Rhinolophus ferrumequinum: one gene and its partner. The protein of the gene in region 1 interacts with the protein of each later gene in a pairwise test. Links are inferred from orthologs where the notes say so. Each region holds a gene or a part of one and is shown on either strand. Other genes may lie near its edges. The genes, in order: FOXR1 and PPCDC.

Region 1 (9,956 bases):
TGTTCAGAGGAGGGGATACCTAAATGACTAAAGATGCTTAGCCTTCCTAGTAATAAGAAAATAAAAGAAAGAGATAACACTTTACATCAAACTGACAAGAATTATAAAAACAGATAATACCAACTGTTGGCAAAGGTGCAGAAAAATAGAATCCTTTATTACACTGCAGACCTGATAGCAACTGGTGTTGCCATTGTGAAGAATAATCAGGGAGGACTATAATGTATTATACTGTCTACTCCTGGGTATGTATATTCAAGTTAATATAGGAATTTACGTACTAATCTTACTGTCATCTATCAAACTCTCGGTCACTCTCCCTCATTCAGAGGCTCACTGGCTCACTGTTACTAAAACTTCGCCTGCCTTAAGTCTTGGCTATTTCAATAGATAGATGATTCTCTTAATAAACTGGCTTCTTAAACTCTTCTACGAAGATTTTGCCTTGCATTCTACTTTAGACGGTCTCTGTCACTGTCATAACCTGAACGAATAACTGCAACCTCTCCAAAACCTCACTTTTGTACCACATAAAAATATATCACCTCCTATTTTTCCAGCTATCTCACTCTCAACTCCAACTATCCTTTGATACAACTGATATCACTAATCCATTGATCTATGGGTTTGGAGCACTTGTTTGGTAGACTTGGATTTGATCAGGGTTGTGGCTTGGCCCAGCAAGTGCTCCAAAGCCATACAGGGCCAAAGGAATTGAAAGGGTGTATGCAAGAGAGCGAGCATGTTTGACCATGGGATTACAGGTTAAAGAAGAGTGATGGGCAGCAGTAAAAGGGTGACAGGACCAACAGATTGCTGATCTCAGTGGGATCAAAGGATACAATGCCTGTCTGTCTGCCTGTCAGTCTGACTGTCTTCCTCCCTCCCTCTCTCTGGCACAGATATCCTCATGCCTTCTGAAGGACAATGTTCCAACAATCCTCTCTTCTCTTTCCTATTATTAATTTTTTTTGGTCTCTATTGGATCATTATCATCAGCATTTAAATATGCTGTAAATTCTCTCATCATATGAAAAACAATAACTTCTCTGGTCCTCACGTTCTGTGCCAGGCCACTATTCCTCATTTTTGCTTTCTTTTGAGGCAGAACTCCTTAAAAGAACTGCCTATACTTTCTGTCTCTACTTCCCCTCCTTCCACTCTTAAACCCTTGCCAATCAGGCTTTCTCCACTATTCCACCAAAACCACATCATCAAGGCTCTGCTTTGCAAAGTCCAATTGTCAACCAACCTCTTACCAGATCTCTCAGCTGCATTCCTCCCAAATGACCACTCCTTCCTTGAGACACTTTCTTCACTTGGTTTCCACAAGAACACAATGTCAGTTTTGATTCTCAGTGATCATTTCCTTAGTTTTTGGTTATCTCTCTTCTCTCCAATCTCTTGGAAGGCCCCCCAGAGATCATTTTTATTCCTTCTCTCTCTCACTACTTAAATGCACCTCTATACCAAAGACTCTCAAAATTTATATCTGCAGTCCACACCTCTCTCCAGAACTCCAGACTTATATATTCCCTTGTTTACTCAACATTTCTAATTGGATATCTAAAAAGTATTTCAAACTCATTATGCCCAGAACTGAATTCCTGATTTTCTTCCAGAAACCTCTCCTACCAGAAGCTTCCTCCATCTCAGTAGAAGGCAACTCAATCCTTCCACTTAATCAGCCAAAAACTTAGAAGTCATCCTCTAATTTTTCTTATACCACACATCCTATCTATCAGCAAATCTAGCTGGTTCTACCTTCTCACCACATACTGCTGGTGGTCAGTCTAGCACCATCTCTTGTCTGGATTACTATAGAAAACTCCTAACCAGTCTCCTGACTTCTAGGCTCCTAGTTTCTTTATATCTCCAATGCACCCTCAACACAGCAGCCACAGTGATCTTTTCAGAATATAAATCATGCAGGGTTGACTACATAATTTGCCCAGTGCAAAATAAAAATGTGGAGCTCCTTGTTCAAAAATTATTAAAAATCTCAAGATAGTGACAGCAGAGCATTAAACCAAGTATAGCTACCCTATGCAACTGTGCAGGTCACATACTCATGAAGCTGGCGATTGTGCCTCTCCTCTACTCAAGACCTTTCAATCATGCCACGTCTTACTCAAAGTCAAGGCCGATGTCCTTAAAGTAGAAGGTAGCTCTTCCTGATCTCTGCTGCACACCCTGTGAGCACTCCTCTTTATTTACCTTGATCCAGCCTCACTGGTCTCCTTACTGTTCCTCAATGGCTCCAAGCATACTCCTTCCTTAGGGCTTTTGCACTGGCTGTTTCTGCTGCCTGGGGAGCTTTTCTTCCAAATATCCTCTTGGCTCACCATGTCACCTCTTTTAACTCACTACTCAAAATATTATGTTCTCAATGAAGCCCAACCTAATGACCCTGTTTAAAAATGTAGCTGCCACCACTTTCCCTGCTTCCCCCCCTCCATTCCTGAACCCTCATACTGTGTCCTTCTTTCCCCACGTCAGTTATCACCTTATAACATACTAGTATGTAACATTTTTGTGTGGATTGCCTGTCTGTCCCCAGGAGAATGTAAGCTTCATGAAGACTTGTCTCCTTTTGTTTTGTTCATTATGTATCACAAGTGTCTAGAACAGTGCCTGGCAAATTGGAGGTGCTCAATAAATATTTCGCAAACCAGTGAAGAAACAGGAATGTTCCTCAGCATTACTTCGGTGTCAGAGTTGGAGGCAATCTAGGTCTCCATTAGTACAGAGAATTAAATGCAAAAGGCTGAGCATATGCATGCGAGATGGATGGACCTAGAGGGTATTTTGCTGACTGAAATCAGACAGAGAGACAGATACTATAAGGATCTCACTTATGTGTGGAATCTAAAAAACAAACTAAATAAACAAAGTCATAGATACAGAGAACAAACTGATGGTTAACAAATGGGAAGGGGGTTGGGGGTAGTGGCGGTGAAAAAGATGAAAGGATTAAGCACAAACTGGTAGTTACAAAATAGTCACGGGGATATAAAAAGCACAGCGTTAGGAATAGAGTCAATAATATTGTAATAACTATGTATATTGCCAAGTGAATACTAGACTTATTGGGGGATCACTTCCTAAATTATGTAATTGTCTAACCACTATGTGGAACACTTGAAGTAATATAATATTGAATAGCAACTATAATTGAAAAATAAAAAAATAAAAAAGGTAGCATATGCAGATGATAGACTTCTACACAACAGTCAAAAATGATGAACCAGATCTATATTTAGCAACCTAAATCCCTCTCAAAAACAATGAGTAGGGGTTAAAAAGCAATGAGCATTATGTAAATTAGTCACAAAATAATACTAAACAGTTTTCAAAGATACAGCTCTCTAAAGAGGATAAATAGGGTAGAGTAAATACATGGGAGTGTGGGAGGTGATAGAAGTGGGTGGAAAGGGGGAAAATGAATTAATCTAAGTACTTTGTCGAACAGATGACATAACCTACCAAGCATGTAGGAGGTGATTACATCAACTCTCCGCACTTGAACTGAAATTTTTTTTTTAAATGACCCCGACAGCCAGCTACCCATTCAGCAAATAGTGAACACCTCTGGGTGTCAGACGTATCAAGAGGCGGGGATACAGCTGCGAACACAACTGATAAATTGCAGTTTTTTTAAAAACAGAAAAATGAGTAAAATATGTAGTGCGCCAAATGGCGACAGGCGCCATGGAGAAAAGGCCGCGAAGAGGCCTAGAAGGTTCTGGGAAGGAGCTGGGCGGGTCGGGTATAGTTGAAAACGTCGTGTCCAGCAGGACCGCTGCCCTCCGTGGGCTTGCAGTCGGGGCGGCCCGATCGCTGCTGGGCAAGTGGCGTGGGGGAGGGGGCCGCGGCACTCAGCAGGGAGCACGCGGGCCCGACACTGTGCCCTCGCCGGGGCTCGCCCCAGGCGGGGTGCGAGGTCGAAAGCTGGGGAGCCCACTCGCCCCGGTCCCACGAGACCCCCACCCGGGCCACCCAGCACGCCCATCCCCCACCGCCCCCCTCTTGGGCACTCACGGTTCTGCTGAGTTAAGGGCAGGTGCGTTGTCGTGAAGGCCAGAAAACACTCGTTCCCCATGTCCCAGTCCAGCAACCCTGGGACCTGGCCATGGAGGCTGGCCCAGAAGTCAAGGTGTTGGAGTTTCAGGTCCACCTTCAGGGAGAGGAGAGAGAGCCGGGCAGGGGGTGGGAGAGTCGGACAGACTGAGGCCGAGGTCTCTGAGCTACTTGCTCAAATACCCAGGCTCTGATTGAGTTAGTTTTGCCGGCTCTGATGGAGTTAGCGTTGACGCCTTTAATCCCCTCTGGCCTCAACTGAGTACTTTCTGCCACGTCTTTCCTCAAACCTCTATGCTTTCGAATTGGGCCTGGGGACACTTGGGGACTCAGAAGAGAGCTATTCCAGGTCCTGTTCCCCTACTACATTTGCACAAAGCTCTTATTTTATTTAATGAATTCGTCTACCGGTTCAGAATGATCCCGTGATAGTATTAACTTTCTAGAAGTTCTGATTGATTTTATGGCTTACCCAAGATCGCATCTGTAGTACATTGTGGAGATAGGATTAAATGGTGGTTTCTTAAATTTTATTTTTAATAATTTGAAATTTACAGAAAAATCCTAAGAATACTATTAAAAAATTCCCATTTACCTAAATCTTGTAATTTACCAATTACACCAATTATTAACATTTTATTACGTTTTAATTTTCTTTCCATATACACATAAGACATATGTATACTATTATTTTTTCTGAACTGTTTAAGAGTAATTTGCAGACATCATGCCTCTTTACCCATAGATACTGCACCGTGTATTTCCTAAAAACAAGGAGATTGGCGTACATAACCAGGAAATCAGAAATAAACTGATCAAAATCAGATTATTTAACATTAATTCAACATTATATTTAATGTACAGATCCTATTCAAATTTTACCAATTGTCCCAATAATATTCTTTATATGAATTTGTTTTCTGGTCTAGGATCCAACTCAGGATTATGCAGTACATTTAATTTTCATGTTTCTTTAGTCTCCTTTAATCTGGAGCACTTTCTCAGCCTTTTTAATCTTTTGTAATACTGATATTTTTAACGATTACAGGCCATTTATTCTGTTTGATGTTTCCTCATAATTAGACTTAGGCATTTTTGACAGGAATACCACAGAGGTGATGTTGCCTTCTTAGCACATCATATCAGGAGGCACATTATGTTAGTTTGTCCCATTATTAGTGGTGCTAATTTCAATCACTTGGTTCAATGGCCTCCACCAGGTTTTTCTACTGTAAAATGATTTCCCTCACCCTTTGTAATTGGAAAGTAATTTGTGGGGAGATACTTTGATCTAAAATCCTGTTCCTCACCAAATTTGGGCCCACTAATTCTGGCATCCATTTATGATTCTTACTTTGATGGGTGTAAATTGATCTTTTTTCTAACTCCGTCGTTCCTTTTCCATTTATTTAGCTGGCATTCTATTGTAAGGAAGAGCTTTTCCCTATCCCATATCTATATGTTTATTAGTATGGATTCAAAGGATTCTTATTTTATTGAGTGGATTATAAGTCATTACTATCATTATTTATTTTAAACCTTTGTCCCAGATTTGGCTAGTGGGTGAGCTAGCTCCCTCTGGTTCTTTTGCTCATCCTGGGTTCCCCAGTAGAGCCCATGCTGTGTTGTCTGTTGCTTGTCTACCAGAGCAGAAACTGTGAGAGTACAAGGCACAGAGGAGACCCTCAATAAATGTTTTAACTACAGTGAAAATAACAGCTTCCTTTTTAAAGTTTGTTAGGATTCTACCTTTAATACTACTAATAATAATTTTAATGATAATACTATTTCTCTAACTATAAAAATACCTATGTTTGATGCAGAAAACTTGGAAGTATAGAATGCACAAAGGGAAAAACAATAAAACAAAAATTATCCTTTGTGTTAATCAGAGATAATTGATTAAAAATTTTTTTTTGAAGGGGAACAGGACTTTATTGGGGAACAGTGTGTATTTCCAGGTCCTTTTTTCCAAGTCAAGTTGTTGTCCTTTCAACCTTAGTTGTGGAGGTTGAACCTTAGTTGTGGAGCAGCTCAGCTCCAGATCCAGTTGCCCTAGTTGCAGGGGGCACAGCCCACCGTCCCTTACGGGAGTCGAACCGGCAATCTTGTGGTTGAGAGGACGCGCTCCAACCAACTGAGCCATCTGGCCACCCAGGAGCGCAGCTCGCTGGCCCATGTGGGAATCCAACCGGCAGGCAGCCCCGTTGCCCAGAGCTCGCTCTCTAACCAACTGAGCCACCCATCTGCCCCATAGTCTTTATTTTAAGAGCAATGCAAAGATTACTAATCCTTATAAGGAATGCATATTGGAGAGGACAAAAGGAATAAGGGTGACGACTCCTGCTCTTTTCCCTCGGTTACCAAACTGTACCACTCTTGTCTCTATTCCCAGGGTTCTTCCACTTCTGCTCTCTGCTCTTAAAGCCCCTTTAGCCTAGTCTCCATTCCCCACAGGCCTCAATAACCTGTCTTTTGGTCTCACCCTGGTGGCCCTCTGTCTTTCCCATCAGAGACTCATCTTTTCGCCAGCATTTCTTCTTGTTCTGCCAGCAGCCCCCCACCCAAAGGCCCTCAGGCCTCTAGCTCCCTCCCCCACGATGGTGCTCCGTCTCCTAGTTGGGTGACCTGCTATGGAGGGTGCAAAATTCACAGCCTAGATGTGGGTCTGAGAACTCTGACTCCTGAGTTCTTATCTCATCTGGCCCCTTCCTGCCTCCTGGGGCCATGGGAGCACCTGCAGCCTAGACATGGATTCTATAGGTTTGTGCCAAAGTGGAGCCCACAGAAAGGAAACACACACCACAGAGGTGACATCCAACTTTATTGTATGGGTTTAGTTCACTGAGGAGGGGTGAATTGTTGGGCGTAATTAAAGAGGTGAGATGGAAGGAAAACTAATTCTGACAGGGGTGGGGTGAAAGGAATAATAGGAAGAGTTGGGCGAAGGTGAGTAATTAGGGGACAAGGGGCAGGGGGAGTAAAAGGAATAGAGGTAAAGGCACTGAAGTGCAGGCACAGCCAAAGACTGGTGATTGAGGACTGGGAGCAGGCAGTCTGTTCAGGAGACGAGGCAGGAGCAAGCGGCAAAGCTCTGGGCTGGAGAGATGGACAGCGCCCTGGACCTCCTGGAGGAGCCCACTGCCCCGTGCAGGCCTCCTCACTTCCTGGTACCCAGTGCCAGGGTGATGATGAAGCCCAGGACCAGCAGGAACATGGCGACAGAGAGCAGCACTGTGATGACCACCATGCCCCCTGTCCGGGCCATTCCCAGCCCAATGTATTCCATGTTCCTTCCTGTCAGAAGAGAGAGCGGAGTGGGCTTTGTGGGCAGGAGGAGCCCCTATCCTACATGAGGCACTCAACCTAGCCCCTCATCCAGCTATCTAGCTCGTATCCCTTCATCTATTTATTCATCCACCATCCAACTGATCAAGTGATTCAGACATCCATCAAATACACATTTATGAAGCATCTCCTACGTCACTCACTGAAGATACATAAATTGATCAGACACAATCCCTACCCACAAAGAATCTTTAGTTTAGCAGTGCAGGAAGATGAGTCAACAGGCAGTTAAAATGCCAAGGGCTCAATGTTACGATAGAGGAAAGCCAAGGAGCTAAGGGAGCATACTGAGGGGCAACTGGGGTGCGGCGGGAAGGGGACAGGGAAGATTTGGGGGCCTTGATATGTGAGAGGGAGCACGTGTTACTTACGAGGAAGTGTGGACATTGGGATCTCTCTGCTGGACTCAGTGGATGTCCCCTTCATCACTAGGTAAGAAATGCTTTTGTAATGGGGTTTGGAAGAGAGAGAGGAGAGAATCCTCAGTGAGTATCTGGGACTTGGGGAAAGAGGGAGACCAGGCCTCCCTCTTCACAGTTGTGCTTCCCATTGTGCCCTCCTTTAGGAGAGGCCCATTCTTGACCCTTTTAGCTGTGCCCTCACCCTCTCCCCCATGCTGACCACATCCCCCCCCACCACCACCACCAAATGTCAGGACCCAACTTCTCCTCCTGCAGTTGTTCCAGGCCTGGATCTGGTACCTACTAGTATTTGGTTCCTGGCACGAGGTTTGTCACCAGGTAAGCACTGAGCCGGGTGACAGTGAAACCAGCCCCAGTGTCCACCACATTCACCAGTTCCCTTCGCCCACGGCATGGAGGCACCATGAAGCTAGATTTCACCACTGGGCAGGAAATTGGGGATGAAAAGCAGGGTCAAGTTTCTGGAGGCCCCAAGGAGAAGGGGTAGCATTTAGAGTGTGGGTGCAGGAAGGCACGCGTGGGAGAAGGGACGTTGGGGATGAATTGGGAAAGGGCTAGGGGGATGCCCTGGGACAGGGTAGCAGACCTTTGCTGTCATTGGCTCTCCGCACCATCAGTGTGGCATTGCCCCCTGTGAGGTGACAGGGGGGCAAAGCAACTAGCAGGCTCTCCGTTAGCGCCGGGGACAGCAGACCAGAGAGGCTTGAGATGTTGAAGTCTGCTGGAGGGCCAGGAGGAAGTTACGTGCGTGTGTGGGGGAGAAATTCAATTCCTCTCCCCCACCTTCAGATCTGGCCCAGCTTCCACAGGCTTTTTTTAAGGATGCAGAATCCTCCCTCCACCTTCCACTCTGTAGTCTGTTGACAGAACACAGGCCTTTGTGCATCTGACCACCAGGTGGCAGGCTTGGGCTGCAGAAGCGTAATACTCTACCAAGTCTCCAAACTCTGGGTGCCAGGAGTGGGTTGTGCCCAACCTCATCCCTTCCCGCAGCCTTGGGCCCCTCCCTTCACCTCTCTGCCTTCTGGGTCTGGAAGAGAACCAGGAGTGTGCCCTTAGCTCAGTGACTGATGCCTGGTCACTGCCATCACCAGGCCCCCACCTCCAACTGTCCAGAAGAGCTCCTCTTTCACAGCCCTGGAATGCACAGTGCCTATCCAGGCCCCAGCCCCTCCCCACAACCCCGCCAGAAGTGGCAGAGACCTGCAGCTCCTGGGGCCAGAACAGCCAGCAGAATCAGGACAAAGGACGAGGTTCTGATGGGTAGTGGGGATGCCATAGCTGGGTTGGAAGCTGGAACAAGCGCTGGCAGGCTGTGGCTTCCTGAGGCAAATGAGGCCCTGCCTCTGGGGTGACTGGTTTTGTCCTGGGGGAGGGAGGGGCTAGAGGGGAATCTTGTCCGACCAGCCCCTCGGCCCTACAGCCTGCGGGGGGGGCTGGGGGGCAGACAGGTTTTTCAGGATGGGGAGCTAGCCCTCAGGCCAGGAGTAGGGATCTTGACTGGATCTTGGTGGCTTAGTCAGCTGCGGAGGGGCAGGGCAACTAAGGTGGGGGGGTGGAAATCACCCCTTCTTCTGGGACTTCTGGGACTCCCACCAGTGCTCTCCTGCCTGCACAAGCATGTGGAGCCAAGCCTGTAGAAAATAACTTCCCCCAGGTGGTGGGAGGTTTCCCCAGGAGGGCAGGAAGTTGTGAGTTGCCCTGGTGTGCAGGAAGAGGAAAGTAACCCCAGGGGCTCCTGAAAGGGCCTTGGCTGGGCCAGAATGGGAGGGAAATGGAAACTGGTAGTAGGGGCAGCAGAGCCAGCGGTTCTAATTCTTGGTGTCCACTGAGGCCCAGGTATTGCTACTGTGAGAGAGGAGAGTGGGGTCAAGAGTGCCAAGTAAGACTTCTGGAGAGACCAGAGAGGTTGGCACTGACCCAGTCCAAGGGTGTGGGTGGGCACAGTCAGCCTTGAGTCAGCAACCTTTGTTGAACTGTTTGAGAATAAAGAAAAGAAAGAGACCTGGTAAGAAAAATCGAAAAAGAGACACAACTTCTCTGACTGCATCCCCTGCCCATGTGCTCAAGTAGACAGAGGTGAAGAAGGAATTGTGAACAGAGGGA
Region 2 (9,523 bases), on another chromosome or scaffold:
TGTACCAACAAGGATATCTGTCTCAATGCCAGTGGAGTATCCAGAGTGCCTCAGATGTCTTTGCCAATCGGACCATCCACCTATGTGCCAATTAGGCTACTTTCTTGGTGCCAATAGCGTGTGCATTCTAGTGCCAATGGGACTTTCTATCTCTAAGCTTATGGGACCATCCACCATGTACCAGTGGACCTAGCTGTCTTGGTGCCGGTGGAATTGTTCACCCCCTTGACAGCGGGCTGTTTATTCCTGCCACAATGGGCCCGTCTGTTTGTGGGCCAGTGGGGCCCAAACACCCACGTGTCGGTGGGTAATCCACTCATGAGCAGATGTCTCCCTATGTAATGTTGCACATACACGCCTAACACCTGGTATCCTGCCAAGATCTATGGGTCAGTGCTGTCCCATTTTGGCCTCTCAGTTAAGGCCTTTGAATGCCTTCTGTCCTTTGTGTACTCACTTCACCTTGGAAGGGCGTGGGGGCCTCGAAGGCAGGGAATCACTGGCTCTTTGCCCTGGTAACAGGAGCCATCTCCTCTGTTGCAGGACTGACAGCTCCTTCAGCTTCATGGCATTCTTCTTCACCTTCATGGCCCAGCTGGTCATCAGCATTATCCAGGCCGTGGGTATCCCAGGCTGGGGCATCTGGTAAGAGACTGAGGTATCTGGGACTGACCCAGGGCTGGCATGGGTGGCATCTTGGGTGTGTCCTTTGCTTACCTCTGTGTGCTAAGCTGCCTAGCCTGTGGGGAAACCGTGAATTATTGGAAGTGTGAGAGGATTCAGACTAGTGTAGTAGACACAGCCATAGCATCAGAGGGGAAGGAGAACCTTGCAGTGGTTTTTGAGGGCTGAGGGGTGTCAGGCATTGTGGGACAACCCAAGGGAAGGAAACCTTATGTCTGAGGAGCTTGTCTCCTGAGCCATGGGGAGGGTTCTTCCTGAATCCCTGACACAGGCTCTTTGGGATTAGTAAGGTGGTCCCTTTGCATCTAGTGATATGGTCCCTCCCTGTGACAATGAGATGGTCCCTTGCTCTAGTGTCTAGTGGGTGGCTCCTAGGTAGCCCTCACCATGCTGGGCAGCCTCACAGTTGGCCTCTTCCTGCAGCGGCTGGATTGCCACCATCTCCTTCTTCGGGACGAACGTTGGCTCAGCAGTGGTAATGCTCATTCCTACCATCATGTTCACGGTCATGGCTGTCTTTTCCTTCATCGCCCTCAGCATGGTACGTGGTCACCTCAATGGTGAGAAGTTGGCTTTGGGAAGGGACTGTGGTCTGTGGCAAGCCCTCTTCCAAATGACAGGAGGACCCAGGAGTCTTCCCAGGGGCTCACTGTGGAATGGCTTGGTGGACTTTGTTCCTGATGCACTGAGCATGGGTGGGACGCAGGACTGGCTGTTACAGCGAGTTGTCTGTGGCTCCCATGTCTTTCCTGGATGGCCTGCCTCTTCCTTTTGATTAACCCTTTCTTGTGCTCCTCCTCCCACAGGTTCATAAATTCTACCGGGGCAGTGGGGGGAGTTTCAGCAAAGCTCAGGAGGAGTGGACCACGGGGGCGTGGAGGAACCCGCATGTGCAGCAAGCAGCCCAGAATGCAGCCATGGGGGCGGCCCAGGGGGCTGTGAATCAGCCGCAGACTCAGTATTCCGCCACCCCCAGCTATGCATACTCCAACGAGATGTGAGCCAGCCGAGCCTGCTGTGAGGCGGGGCTGCGGGCTGGTGGGACGGGGGCTCAAGCCACATCATCTGTTGTGGTGACCAAGCAGGGTTCCCCCTTCCCTTTTCTCTTCCTCCACTTTGTATAAAGAATCAGAGTTATATATATATATATATATATATATATATATATATATATGTATGTATGTATATGTCTACCCCCCACCCTCTTGGATTTTGCTCTGAGCATTTGGAAAGCTGCGGGCTACATGTGGAGCTGTCCCTTGCGGCGGTAGCTGTGTCCATGTCCCCTTGTGAAATAGTGTGACGTGGAGGTCTCTGTTGTCGTGGTGCTAGATGTCTGTTTAGAACTAAACCAGCCCCCACCCTCCCCCAGGCCACGCCCTCTGACTTTGCCCAAGGACCCTTCATGGGGCAGGAGGAGGCATAGCAGAGAGAGCCTGGCCCTCTCCCCAGGGTTATGAGCTGAAGCTGTTTCCGCTTTTGGTCTTACTGGGAAGCAACAGTATTTAGCACTTATGGGGGTGGTGGGTGGGAGGGTGAGAACAGGCAGGGGCCTTCTCTTCCTCCTTCTGATCTGGGATCCTCCCCCTCAACCTCTTCTTCCTCTCGTCCCTTCTTGCTGTCACATTCCCTGTGGTCTCTTCTCTTGCCCAAGGTCTCTCTCTTCCCCATATGGCTTTCTGTCTTCCCCAAGGCTGAATGAATTTGTATCTGCTCCTGAGACTGAGCCCTTTCCCAGATCAAGGAAGCAGACGGGAGCTGAGCTTTAGCCCTGATGTGGGAGGGCACACAGGTGCAGACCCCCCCACGGCACCTGACTCCTAAGGAATGGCAATGCAGGGTCATCTCCTGGACTCCCAGAGCTTGGCCTGTAGGGGCAGGCTCCTCTTTTCCCTGCTTCCCCTCCTTCTCTTCCTAGCACCCCCCTCAAGCCCCTCTGCCTGTGTCCCTCCCCAAACCCCCAGCTGCTATGGCCTGATTCTCTTGTCCTACCTCCATCACATGCCAGAGGCATCTTCCATCTACCAAGGCGGATTCCACTGCCTTCCCTGAAGAGCTGGGTGGTATCCAGGCAATTTCCATGCAAAGGCGCAGCTGGAGCAGAGGACGTGTAAATAATTATTGGTACCTGTGTGAGGTCTGGCTGGTTCAAGCCCCCTGGGAGGTATTGGGTGTCCCGGAGTGACCGACCATCGGATTCCTGGCAGCAGTAGCTGTTCTGTGTGGGTCTGGTAGAAGGGACAGGCTCAGAGTGCTGGGCCTGGAGGGAAGATCAGAGGAGAAGGCAGGCAGAACTCAGTGAGAGGGGAGCATGCCTCCCCCATGCCAGCTAGCTCTTCGTCACAGGGCAGTTCTGGGCACTTGAACTCAGGGCCCAAGAAGAGGCAGAGGCCCAATCCTATCTGCAGGCACAATGGCTGGAGTGGGCTTTCAGGTTAGGTGCGGTGGGAAGGAAGGCTCTCTGGCTTTTGTTTTTTAAAAAAATCAAAATAACTTGTTCCCTTTTGCTTATTGGCTTTAGTTCTCGGCCTTCTTCAGCCTGACCGAATCCCTTTCCCTTCCAGGACAGTGACTTCAGGCCAGTAGGTCTGTTCTGTTCCAAGCCTTGTGAGAATGTTGCTGGTAAAGCCCCAGCTCTTTGAGGTTGGGAGGGGAGTGTCGCACTCAAGGAACAGCTGCCCACTTCCTACCCTCCCTTCTCCTATCTGGGTGTTTGGCCTGAAAAACCAAACCCTGCTTGGCCATTGTGGGCTGGCTCCAGCTTGGAACCCAGCTTGGTCAAGCTCCAAATACTGTATTTTCCTATAAGGGGAGCCGGGGCCTCTGGGAAGTTCTCTTCCTAATGGTCCCGTTGGCTTGAGTCAGACTGATTGGCTCTCTCCTCTACCACTTTCTCTCTGGAAAGCATTTGTCATCGCCCCTAGTGCCTGAAAAGAGACCCTTGGTCTAGCCTCTTGCTCCCTTGTCCTCTCTCCCCTCCCTTCCTCCACTTCCCGTCCCCACTCCCCCCCCCCCCCCCCCCCCCCCCGCCAGACCTCTGACTCCTTTTCTCTTAGTCTCTGGTAGTTCCAGGCCTGTGGTCCAGCTGCTAGCCCAGGATCCATGACCTGTTGGTTGCCACCTCCAGTCGATTTCCTGCCCTACCTGCCTTTCTTCTTTCCTGGCTCAGACCTATATGGCTATGCCCTGACGCTGCCCTTGGGGAGGCCTGCTACTTGTGTGTGGCCCAGCTTGTCCAGGCCCTGAGATGCTGTCTCCAGGCAACCATACACTTTCCTGGGGAGGAAACCAATATGAGAAGTGGGGGCTGGGCACAGATTCATGTTTGCTGGATGGTCTTGGGTGGAGGGAAACCCAGGTCAGTTCTGGGAATCCTCAGGTCTGCAGCCAGCCAGTGAGCTGCGTTTGTACTCTGCTGGTGCCCACTGCTCCTCCACTGCTCCTCCTTGTTTCTAGGAGACAGACTATTCTCCATCTGGCAGTTGACCTGCCTGAGCCAGTGTGTCTGTCTATGGTAACTGAGTGAACCATAATAAAGGGGAACATTTGGCCATATGTATTCTGCAGTGTCATGTGTTTTCATACGGGTCTGTGTGGATGGAGCCTCACTGTGGGCTGTGGGACATGGAGGTAGGGTGGGTCTGTAGAACCACACAGGGGCCAGAAGTCGCCTCTGTGTGGTTCTTTCTCTAAGGCAGCCTTAGTAGGCCTTGAAATTGCCACAGCAGCCTTCTACCGGTTAGAAGGAGAGGTTCTGAGTTCTACGAGGAGGAAGCAGAAGGCTGAATTAGAGAGTGAGGGATGCTTTGGTCCAGATGGTCCCTGCAGACAAGGGCAGGGGCAGAGCAGAGGGCCCCACTCAGCTCTCTCAATGGAGACTGGCTGCTGACCGAGCAGCCTGAAATAACAGGGGGTTCCGGAGCCCACGGTGCTGGACGATGAAGAAGGTAGTGAAGTGTACCCAACCTGCTTCCCCCGGATGCATTCCTGTTGCCAATGCCCTGCCCTCCACTTGGACTGCTATTCTGGCACTCTATCTAAGCTCCTGCTCAGCCTTCGAGATTCACCCTGAGTGACTCCTTCTCTGAGAGGCCTTCCCTGCCTCTAGGTATTTAGGCCCCTCCACTTCCTCATGGAGGACCTTATTCTGTAATTTTCTGTGACCCTGCTTGTCCCTAGAGCAGAAACGCATCTGATTCTTCTCTGTAAACTGCACTTAAAACATAGAAGAGTCTCGCTAAATATTCAGTATTAAGTACCCCAACAATGAGCAGTGTGTATGTGTAGGATGGGGGTGTGGGGTGAGGAGGCGAAGCCCAGGTGAAAGCATCTGAAAAACCAAGAATAGGAGCCAGGGTTAGTGGCAGGATTCCCTCCAACGGACTACAACTACCGGAAGGCCTCCAACGGACTACAACTACCAGAAGGCAGAGAAATGGACTACAACTCCCAGAAGGCTGCGCGATCACGTAGTCTGCCAGATATTCTCGTGAGATTGCGTGCCAATCAGAATCAGCGCGAAAGGCAGGGGCCATCCGGGATATTTGGGGGCTGTGCCCAGACACGCCTGACTCGGGTGAGGAGTCAAAGGGGGCTCAGAGGCAGTCCTCGCGGCGGGCGGGTGGGAGGCCGGAGAAGCTTCGCTTGCGACTGTGGGCCTGCTGCTGTGCGTGTGTGTCCTCACTTTCGTGTGTGTGTGTGTGTGTGTGTGTGTGTGTGTGTGTGTGTCTGTGTGTGTGTGTGTGTAGGGGCTGTGGAGCTTGTGGGGCCTTCACTTTCCTGTCTGTGACCGTGGGGCTGGAACATTTAGGGACCCCTTCCCGGCTCGAGCCTGAGGTGGATTTGTATCTTGCATCCCTATCCGCGCTCTGTGCTGCTCGGCGATTGTCCATTGCTGTTTAATCTAGTTCAAAAGATGGCCCTGTCAGTTCCCCATACTTACCACTTGCCTTAAAAAATAAAAAAATCATGAGCCTGCTTCCAAAAAGGAAGAGGGACTGCCCAAAGTACAAACTATCTCTTAAAAGCTGGTGATATAGAAAAAGAAGAGCCCTGGGATGTTGCAATTATCCACTTAGATCAGCCTAAAAATGCTTACTGGCATTTAAAAATTAGAGTGCGGCCAAATTTTGTCAGAGAAAAACTTCATGCTGTTTTTTGAAATATTGGAGGCCGGCGCCAGATAAGGCGCAGGAGAGAGTCCCAAGTTGGGGAAATGGTGGTGTCTTTGGAGCTGGGTTGTCCACATCTTTGCCCGTGGCTGAGAGGTGGCAGTGCGCAGTCACTCGCTGGCTAGTAGCCGGCGTGTGTGAATGTGTCTCTCTGTCTGTATCTCTCCGCAACATGCGGCCTTGAGGAAGGGGACAGGTGACGCAGAGTCAAGTATGCTTGCCTCTGGTTTTAGAGAAGAGCGTCTTAGAATGCCAAGGCCTTGAGCTAGCCCCAAAGAGTTCCTTTCCTTTCCTTAGGGGAAGGGCTTTAAAGTACCCCTGTGGCCATGGGACTCCCGTTAATGACTTTGGGTTTGGGAGCAGGGTGACACTTTGGGGAGTGCAAGTGGGTCATTATTCCTGGGGCAGAGAGTTGAGTGTGTTGACTGGTGAGAGAGGAGCCGGAGTAGAAGCCTGGGCCCAGTAGGGAGGGGCTTGGACGTTAGGCTAAAGGAATGGAGCTCAGTGTACACGGGATCCCTGCCCACCCCCCCCCCCCACCCCGGAGCCTGGTTCTGCTTTTGTCCTACACCTCCGCGCCTCATCTTTCCTGTGTTGGGCTGCCTCACACCCCGTCTGGTCCTTTCTTAGCTCTGGTTCTGCCCTGGCCCCACATCCGCCCTCATTGTGACTGGCAGGAATCCCTGAAACCTTTACGTGATTCTGCCATAATTAAACGCATCAGACATTTACACACCACGAGGCTTTATACAAGCTGAGGCTCTTCACTCTGTCTGGCCTTGTCTTCCTAAAGGACGGAGAAGCTGCCATTTTTCCGTCTGTGGCTTACCTGGATGGCTGGCACCCTGGGAGTCTGAGGCTCAGTAATCACAGGCTTGAGCCCTGCGACCTCTCTGCCTGCCAACTCTTCCTGCTGCTCAGGAGTGCCTTATGTGTCCAGCAGAGGCCAGGGAAGCGAGGTGCTGTCCACAACTGCCTTGGCTGTGCAGGTAGATCGTTCTGACAGGGACTGGATAGAGTGCTTACTATTCAGGGATTTGATCTTTTTAAAGCATGAACATAAAGAACCGCCAGCTGTCACCTTCCATGGGATTGTCAGATTGAATCCATTTGACCTTGCTTTGAAATGTCAGTTAAGTTACCCACTCACTATTCCTCAAACAATCCCCACGCCTCCTATAAAGGCAGGTAGGCCTTGGTCCTTAGCAAAGATTGCCCAGTAGGCTAAGGAGTCAGTCTGGGGCTATGCCACCTACTGTGGGGCTTGGCTGAAGTCACCAGCGTGGATTTCTGCCCCAAGTTTTGCTGATTGCTTTCAGTGACCTGCTCCTGAGGATTGAGGTCAGCTTAATGTGGAAGAGTTTCAGGGGCTGGAAATGAAATTCAGCTTCTGGTTTTGCAGGAATCCCTTTGTCCTAGCACCAGTTGGCTGGGGTGGGACAAAGTCAAGGCTTGAGACCTGGCAGGTACATTTTCCTGGAGAGTCAGGAATGTGTTCCCATTACCTGTGAGTGCTAATCAGCCTGCTGGTTAGTTCTTGGAAGACACTGGACAATAAGCCCTCCAGAGGGCTCCCCAGGTCCCCGAGTAGACACAGTTCTGTTCTGGGCAAGCAGGGCCCTGGTACAGAGGTCCCTGGCAAATGGAACTTTGGGGGAGTCTTGCTGAAGGGAGCTGGCCAGTGCTTCACCCCTTCTGAGAAGGGTCTGGGCCTCTAGGAGACCCTTCTAGGTAGGAGTGGGATCATGGACCCAAACACAGTCCTCAGCTCCTGTGGGTCTTGAAGGCAAATACTGGGCAAAGAGGCCCTTGGGATCCCAGGGGCCTGTGGAGTGAAGAGGAGGCCCCCCTGTGGGTGTGCAGCCGTGGAGGCAGCCACAGGGTGACTCGGGCACGTCCCCCTGAGGGTCTGCCGTGGCGTCTCCTGTCCTGCTGGTTGTGCACATCTTCTGGGACCCTCCAGTGTGGAGAGCATTTAGCACTGCCGTCTCTGCATTGACACAGAAGGCTCTGCTGGTAGGAGCTTTAAAGATCACCTGGTTCTACCTCTGTATTTTTCAAATGAAGAGATAGGTCCGGGGACGGAAGTACCCTGGGCCAAGGTCGCACCCCAGGTCAGGAGCACATCCATGAGCAGGGCCCAGGGCTCCTGATTCCCAGGCTGGCTTCTGTCTTCTGCCCCACCCCGCTGCAGAGGGTACAATTTATTATTCACTCAGCAGATGTTCAGGACCCACCAGGTGCCTGGCGGTTGGCGAGTAGACCTGGTCACACATTCAGGGAGCTTGCTGGTGGTGGTGGCTGTGGTGGGGCAGTGGAGAGGGAGAGGCGAGGAAACATGAACGAATGGAATCAGTGATCAGAATGAGTCGGTTTTGCTGGCCCTGCCTGCAGAGTGTCCGTCAGCCAGATGATCACGGGCACTCACTTCCAGCAACAGCTGCCAGAGGAATAAACCAGCAGCGGGTCCCCCAGGGTGGCCAGCTTCCCCTTTATGCTTGTCTCTTCCTGGGCGTGGATTTGTGGAGTGGTGTCCAGTCTGATCTACAGGGACGGGGCAGAGGCAAACCTCTCCACTCCCTAAAGCACCCAGACGCCCTTGTTGCCTAGGGCTCCATCTCACAGGTATCCCTGGAACCCACCCCATCCTGCCACTCCCTTCCGTCGTCAGCCTGGCCCACTAGAGCAGCTTCTTACCCTGTCCCCTCCAATGTCACCACCATCAGGGCCCCCTCCACATGGTCACCAAAAACCATCTTGCCAAAATGAAAGTTCCCCGTGGCCCTCACCACCCTTGACGCTGCCCTTGACCTGACTTTGCAGCCTGACCCCCCGCCCCCCATCACACTTCAGCCGCACTACCAAGCTACTCTGTTTCCCAACCTGCTACCCTCCTTTAGCTTGTTCATCTTTGCAAGATTGCTCCTTCTTGCAAAGTTATTTCCTTCTTTCTCTGGAAAACTTACTCGTCTCTCAGGACTCAACCTGAATGTCATTTTTTTGGTCTCTGACGTCCTCAGACAGTCACTCCCGGGCGGCCACAGCCTCCGGTATGGGCCTTCCTCACAGCACTGGTCACGCTGCATTGTAACTGGGCTGTGTGTGCTGAGGCTGTCTGACCTTATCAAACTGTGCTCCCAGACCTGGGACTGCGGATCCGTCAGGAGCCCCAGCTAAGACCCAGGGTCTAACACTGGCTGCTCAATATATTTTGGTTGTGTGAATGAAGTGGGGGCCCCTTGTTCTGCTTTTAGACCCGCAATCCTGAAGAGCTTTGTGGAGCCTCGTTCTGGCAGGCTCCCAGGACTTGAAGCCACCAGCCCCCACATGGAACCAAAGGCCTCATGTCCAGCTGCTGCGCCCTTGCTAGAGAGACAGTTCCACGTTCTTGTGGGTGTCACTGGGAGTGTCGCAGCCCTGAAGGTGCCTCTTCTGGTGTCCAGGCTTTTGGACGTTCCTGGCGTGAGTATCCTTACTACACAAGCGTGGCAGCCTCTGACATTAGGCAGGTGCTGTTCCTGGGGCCAGCTCATTTTCGTTCAGTGCCTGGGGTTTTCCTTAACTGTGGTGTTTGGGGAAGTCTTCTGTGTGCATTGGTATGAGGGGGACACAGGACACACACCAGTGTCACAGTGTAACCAGGAGCTAGATTAGATATTGTGGACAGA

The links.
Region 2: the proteins of FOXR1 (region 1) and PPCDC interact in binary tests that used the Homo sapiens proteins (3 or more experiments, as listed by UniProt). The two-hybrid records come from large-scale screens. The link is inferred for Rhinolophus ferrumequinum from reciprocal best matches to the Homo sapiens genes FOXR1 and PPCDC.

The regions. Positions count from the first base shown.
Region 1 is NC_046294.1:88,239,494-88,249,449, reverse strand, and holds the start of FOXR1 (forkhead box protein R1), read right to left. Parts: upstream 4,185-9,956; 5' UTR 4,103-4,184; coding exon 4,042-4,102; intron 1-4,041. Other genes in the region: UPK2 (uroplakin-2), read right to left, coding at 7,241-7,377, 7,800-7,870, 8,134-8,272, 8,437-8,568, 9,054-9,129. UniProt on the Homo sapiens protein: Transcription factor which acts as both an activator and a repressor.
Region 2 is NC_046289.1:99,539,308-99,548,830, forward strand, and holds the start of PPCDC (phosphopantothenoylcysteine decarboxylase), read left to right. Parts: upstream 1-5,160; 5' UTR 5,161-5,260; intron 5,261-9,109; 5' UTR 9,110-9,182; coding exon 9,183-9,317; intron 9,318-9,523. Other genes in the region: SCAMP5 (secretory carrier-associated membrane protein 5), read left to right, coding at 544-645, 1,108-1,225, 1,491-1,685. UniProt on the Homo sapiens protein: Catalyzes the decarboxylation of the cysteine moiety of 4-phosphopantothenoylcysteine to form 4'-phosphopantotheine and this reaction forms part of the biosynthesis of coenzyme A.